Callithrix jacchus: one gene and its partner. The protein of the gene in region 1 interacts with the protein of each later gene in a pairwise test. Links are inferred from orthologs where the notes say so. Each region holds a gene or a part of one and is shown in the gene's direction. Other genes may lie near its edges.

Region 1 (2,766 bases):
AAGCAAAGGATTGAGAGAAGATGGCCCCTCTGGTGCTGTGTTCCCCATAGATGTGGTCAGACTGGGCCCTCCCTACCTTGCCTGTCCACGGGTTCCAGGAGGCTGGCTCTAGCCATAGCTATGATGAGCTTTCCTCAGGCCAGGGCGGGCTGCAGGCTGCTTCCCCCTCTGGACGGGCCTCGTGCTGAGCTACCGCCCGGGTTGTAGTTCCCTTCACTCAGCTGCCGCCACAGTACAAGGGGATCCATTCTCCCCTTAGCTCCTGAGCACTCACTGAATGCATGTTCCTTGCAGGGTCTACTGGAAGCATGTCCCTCTGACGGTATGGCCTTCTGTCTATCCCTGCTAGATGGTGACCACAGCCCTGGCAGCCACGAGCACTCCTACGTGGGGAAGCGGTCAAACCGGGTGGTACGAACCCTCCAGAACAGTAAGTGGAGGAAGTGGTTTGCCTGGGCCTATGGGACTGGCTTCAGTCAGCGGCCACTTTCCCCTACCTCAGCTCGGGCCTGGCTCACTCATCTGCGTCCCTTGTGTTCTAGCACCGTCCCTGCACTCCAGGCACTGGGGAGCCCCCCAGCAGCGGGAGGGATGGCAGCAGCAGCACCCTGAGGAGCTGAGTGCGACCCCCACCCCCCTGGGGCTGCAGGAGACCATCGCAGAGTCCTTGTACATTGCCCGGCCACTGCTGCACTGTATCCTTAGCGCGGGGCAGGATAGGGCTGGCACTGCGGGCTGGGGATTGAGTGGGGAGTGCGCTGAGCTGCGCCCCTGTGCCGGAGACATCCTTGACGCCTTGGCCGTCAGTGCTCAGCCTGGGCCTATGGGGTCAGAGGTCATGGAAACCTTGGCTCCTGGCTGGTGTTGTGGACGTGACCAGGTGAGCCTGGGCCTGCCCAGGGCTCCACTCTCCACTAGGCTTTCTGCTACAATCCTGGCACCACCTAGGTGGGACGGCAGCAGCCCTTGCCCCTCCTGTTTCTACCCCTCTGCACACACAGCCTGTGACTCCTCCCCTTCTGTGGGCCCAGATCATGACCCTGGCCCTGACCTTGTCCTCCCTGCCCCCCAGCCTGAGCCTCCTGAGTGACAGGAAGGGCCTGACCCGGAGGGAGCGGCGGGAGCTGCGGCGCCGGACCATCCTGCTGCTGTACTACCTGCTCCGCTCTCCGTTCTATGACCGCTTCTCTGAGTAAGCACCCAACCCCTCCCAGAATGGCCAGGCCCACCCTCAGCCAGGGAGAGGGCTGGCAAGTGGGCACTGGTGTTCTGGTCCCTGTTGGCACTTTCGTTCCCCAGTGCCTTGTCCAGGGTTCACTGAGCACCTGCTGTGTGCTGTCTGGGTGGCAGTCACCAGATGCCAGCCCAGCCCCACCTGCAGAGCTCTCTGGGCCATCAGACCACACGAGCATGCACTTAAACACGGTTGGCAGGAGAGGCACTGAGGGCCAGGTGAGGGCATTGCAGGGCGGCCCACAGGGACGGCGGCAGGTGCGCATGCCCAATGACCTCTAGTTCATTTCCTCTTCTTCCTGCCAAATAGTTTGGCTTATCCTCACTTCTCAGAGGAGGCACTGGAAGTTCAAAAACAATGGGCAACTTAAACAAAGCTACCCAGTTAGCCAGCGGTAGAGCCAGATCCCAGCTGCATAGTCTCCCCTGGTCTTCCCTGCCTGGCCCAGCCTCCAGTCGCCTGTGAGGGTCCAGAGCTCCCAGCCTTGGGGAGGCCTGCTGGGTTGAACAAGGAGCAGCTTGGGACCAGTTCTTCCACAGGCCTGCCACCGTGACTGTGTGAGGTTAGACTGCAGTCTGATGGAACCCTATGCAGCAGCTGGGACTGTGAGATAGACAAGGCTCCTGGGACCCCCTTTGTCTAGGACCTAGTAACTGCTTGAAAGCTGGCATAGGCTGGGCAGCAGTGGCTCACACCTATATTCCTAGCACTTTGGGAGGCCAAGGCAGGAGGTTTGCTTGAGGCTAGGAGTTTGAGACCAGCCTGGGCAGCCCATCTCTACAAAAAAATTAAAATAGGCTGGGCGTGGTGGCTCACGCCTGTAATCCCAGCACTTTGGGAGGCGGAGGCGGGTGGATCATGAGGTGCAGAGATCGAGACCACTCTGGCCAACATGGTGAAACCCCATCTCTACTAAAAATACAAAAAATTAGCTGGGCATGGTGGCGCGTGCCTGTAATCCCAGTAACTCAGGAGGCTGAGGCAGGAGAATTGCCTGAACCCAGGAGGCGGAGGTTGCGATGAGCCGAGATTGCGCCATTGCACTCCAGCCTGGGTAACAAGAGCAAAAACTCCGTCTCAAAAAAAAAAAAATTTTTTTAATTAAAAAAAAAATAATAATAAATTAGGCAGACATGGTGATGTGCACCAGTAGTTCCAGCTACTCAGGAGGCTGAGGCAGGAGAATTGCCTGAACCCAGGAGGCGGAGGTTGCGGTGAGCCGAGATCGCGCCATTGCACTCCAGCCTGGGTAACGAGAGCGAAACTCAGTCTCAAAAAAAAAAAAGAAAAGAAAAACAAACAAACAAAAAATGCATAGTTTAGCTGGGTGTTATGCTTCACACCTGTAATCCCAACACTTTGGGAGGCTGAGGTGGGAGGATTGCTTGAGGCAAGGAGTTTGAGACCAGCCTGGGCAACACAGTGAGACTCAGTCTCTACTAAAAATACAAAAATTAGCCAGGTGTGTTGGCGAATGCCTGTAGTCCCAGCTACTCGGGAGGCTGAGGCAGGAGAATCACTTGAACCCAGGA
Region 2 (3,825 bases), on another chromosome or scaffold:
CATATCTGCTTGTCTCAGAACTTCATACTACCTGTTATTCTCATTTTCCCATCTATTCTACTAATCCTTGTCAACAGAATGTTGCTTAAGCCTTGCCTATTTGAAAACAAATTAAATGTCTCGAGTTCCCTGTATTTTCTTTCAGCTTTTGTACTTTTTCTTAATCCTTATGACCATGACCAAGATTTCTACATTCCCTTCCTTCTCATCACTCCCACTCATGCTTTGATGCACTACAGCCTGGGTTCCACACCTGTGTCTCCACCCAAGCAGATCTCTCAAGCATCAGTAACAAGTTCTGTGTTGCCAAATCTGCTGGACATTTTCCTCCTGCTAGAACTCTGGGCAACAGTCAACACCTTCACTAGTCAACACCTTCACTCTCTCCTCTGTTTTGAACAGTCTGTCCTAGGCTACTGAGAAGCCAGTTTTACCAAGCTTCCCTAGTCTTTCTGTACCTTTCTCCACTCCTTAAACAGACTCATCCTCCTCAAGCTGCCATTGAAGGCTAGAGTTCTTCCTAACCTTCCACTCAGCCCTCTTCTCTTACTTGAAAATAGGTCTGTTGACAAGTAAGAGTTCTGAAGCTGCAATGCTTTGTGCTTCCCAGACTTTTCCTTGTTTTCCTTTCTAAGCTGATAATATATACCTCTTTCACCTAATATATTTTATTGGTTATTGTCTCAATTAAGGGATCATACCTACTTTTTATTTAAAAGGAGAGACTGTGAAATCTTCTGAATTGATATATTTTTATACCTGAAACAGTTATAAATATGTTTTCAAAAGTCATCTTATGAAAAAATAACCATAGCAATGGTTCATGATTTTACACATGTATATTAATCACAGTACCAAGTGGTTTTCTTTTCTCTATGAAGGTTTCACAAGAAGTATCGTGGCTGTATACAGTACCTGTATGTTGGTTGTTCTTTTGCGAGTCCAGTTAAACATAATTGGTGGATATATTTACCTGGATAATGCAGCAGTTGGCAAAAATGGCACTGTAAGTTTAATAGACTTAAATAGACATTGTCCTTTCCCTCAAGAGGTTCAAAGTTTAACTTAATTTATCCTGATACCAATTTCTATGAAATAAATATTTTTTTATATTTCATGTGATTGTGAACTTTTAGTATTATGAATAATTCTTATACTTTGGAAAGTAGAATTTTTGTTGTTTTAAAAAATATTATTTTCCCATCATTTTGGATCTTGAAAAATTTCAGCTAAAGTTATATTGAAAACATTACTTATTTACTAGTTTAAAACTTGGATAATTTAACCTTATTTCTGTTTTGTACAGACAATTCTTGCTCCCCCAGATGTCCAACAGCAATATTTATCAAGTATTCAACACCTTCTTGGAGATGGTAAGATTCTTACTTGTGACTTTTGTACTAATTTTAGTTCATTTATTTGTATTATTGAAGAATTTTTAAACTAAGCAAGGCTTTTAAGTTTGCTTTTTCTTTAATAGGCCTGACAGAATTGATCACTGTCATTAAACAAGCTGTGCAGAAGATTTTAGGAAGGTAAGGCATTTTTCTTTGACTTTTCTGACTTCCTGATTCTGATGAATGAAAGAAAATTAGAATTGTTCTAGTGAAGTCAATGACTTGACAAATGGTGGTTTGTGAAACTCTGTAATCTAATCAGATACCAACTTGGGATATTGCCTTGTGGGATCTATTTTCTTCATCAGTATCAACCTTTGTATTCAGAGGGGAAAGTTTTAATATTTCATTGTTTATTGATTGATTGCCATACAAATCAGAAATATTTGGGTCATGAGATAAGAGACCTACTTTAAAATCTGCCTCCGAGGCTTTTACCTCACACTTATACTAGTAATATCTATAATTATAGTAGGAATTCTCTTATGAAATCCACAGAAATATTTTTCTTGGCTCTGTAATAATGGCTCTTAACTGGTGGCTGATTTCTTAATCCATTCTATTCCAGTCAGCAGTTACAGGTGTGAGCAGAAGAAACAGGATTTTAGACAGTAGCCTGTTAAGAAAAGAGTGTATATAGGATGTGTTGTATAGTTTTAATTTATCCCAATTCCCTTTTCTCTGTTTCTAGTGTTTCTCTTAAACATTCTTTGTCCCTTTTGGACTTGGAGCAAAAACTAAAAGAAATCAGAAATCTCGTTGAACAGCATAAGTCTTCTTCTTGGATTAATAAAGATGGATCCAAATCTTTATTATGCCATTATATGATGCCAGATGAAGAAACTCCATTAGCAGTGCAGGTGCTTAATTCATAACCATTTAATCAAACCAGTTACTCTATACTTTTAAAATTTTACTCTGTCTTGAAATTTCAATTTCTGAGTCTCTTGAAAGGTAAGTAATTGAAAGGTATATATTTCAATAATTGAAATAAAACCCCATTAATATTTAAAACAAACTGCCATTATGACTGATTTCTAATTAGAAGCACGTGACAATTTTAGATATTCAGTACATTTTTATTATTAGGTATGCAACAGTGGACAGAGTGATACATATTGGAGATGTAAAATTAGTAAGACCTGCCCATTACACTTGGGGAACTGAAGATACAAATTCTATTAGTGTGGCTACACATATTTTTGTATCAGATCAAGTATCAGAACATAGAGCTAAAGGTCAGGGCAAGATTATAAAGAGCTTTGTATGCCAAGATAAGGAGTCTGAACTCCAATTTGTACACAAAGAAAGGTAGATTTTAACCAGTCCAGTAACACAATCACCTTTGCATTTTAAAAAAGTTAATGATGGCAGTACAAAAATGGACTGAGGACATTATAGTCATCCACTTGAGAAACAAAGTCTAATCCAAAAATTTTGTCTGCTGGCTTATACCCATTCTTTGTAATTGGGAGAACAGCTCTCAATTGACAACTGGAAAAGCCTTAGAACAGAGAGACCCCTATGCCATACCTCAGCATAGAGGCACTGTTAGAACAGAATGCCTTGTTTTCATTGCCTGAAGGATTTTCCACTCCCAGAGACCTCAAAGATGAACCTGTTTGGCTGCTGAGAGATCCTACATTCATGAGTAGGCAAAAAAAAAAAAAAAAAAAAAAAAATGTTGCATTCCGTTTAAGGAAACCCTATAACTTGAAAGATAAAGACAAAAACTGATCAAACAGAACAGATGGGACAGAATTAATGAAACAGGAGAAAACTTATAAAATAGAATCTCAAGGAGACACAATAAGAGTATTAAAAAATATTTTTAGGACTCTAAATCAATTTATGTTTTCAGAATTCAAAACAGAACTACAGAGAAAACAATTCAAAGAAAGAAGATGAAGAGAAAAATGATGGACCAGATCTTACTGAACTGAATTACAACCTGAAATTTAAGATTGAAAGGACACATAGAGTTTCAGATTAGATTGATGAAAAAAGACACACATGTATACTGATAAAAGAAAAAAACATGGGAGGTTGAGGTGGGAGGATCATGTGAGTCCAGGAGTTCATGACTAGCCTGGGCAACAAAGCAAAATCCTGTCTCCAAAAATTAAAATTTAAAAAATCAGCCAAATGGGCATAGTGGTACATGGTTATAGTCCCAGCTACTCAAAAGGCTAAGAAGGGAAGATTTTTTAAGCTCAGAGTTCAAGGCTGTGGTGTGCTATGGTTGCACCATTGCATTCCAGCCTGGGCAACACAGTGAGCTCTGTCTCTTAAAAGAAAATGCTTTGGGAGGCCAAGCAAGAGGATGGCTTGAGGCCAGGAGTTTAAGACCAGCCTGGGAAACATAACAAGACCCTATACCTACCAAAAACAAAAAAAAAATTAAAAATTAGCATGGTGGCCCATGCCT

What was found.
Region 2: the proteins of PEX16 (region 1) and PEX3 interact in binary tests that used the Homo sapiens proteins (3 or more experiments, as listed by UniProt). The link is inferred for Callithrix jacchus from reciprocal best matches to the Homo sapiens genes PEX16 and PEX3.

Annotation. Positions count from the first base shown.
Region 1 is NC_133511.1:110,936,807-110,939,572, reverse strand, and holds part of PEX16 (peroxisomal biogenesis factor 16), read left to right. Parts: intron 1-349; coding exon 350-430; intron 431-542; coding exon 543-695; intron 696-807; coding exon 808-880; intron 881-1,072; coding exon 1,073-1,192; intron 1,193-2,766. UniProt on the Homo sapiens protein: Required for peroxisome membrane biogenesis. May play a role in early stages of peroxisome assembly. Can recruit other peroxisomal proteins, such as PEX3 and PMP34, to de novo peroxisomes derived from the endoplasmic reticulum (ER).
Region 2 is NC_133505.1:150,250,474-150,254,298, forward strand, and holds part of PEX3 (peroxisomal biogenesis factor 3), read left to right. Parts: intron 1-881; coding exon 882-1,006; intron 1,007-1,306; coding exon 1,307-1,373; intron 1,374-1,480; coding exon 1,481-1,535; intron 1,536-2,088; coding exon 2,089-2,257; intron 2,258-3,825. UniProt on the Homo sapiens protein: Involved in peroxisome biosynthesis and integrity. Assembles membrane vesicles before the matrix proteins are translocated. As a docking factor for PEX19, is necessary for the import of peroxisomal membrane proteins in the peroxisomes.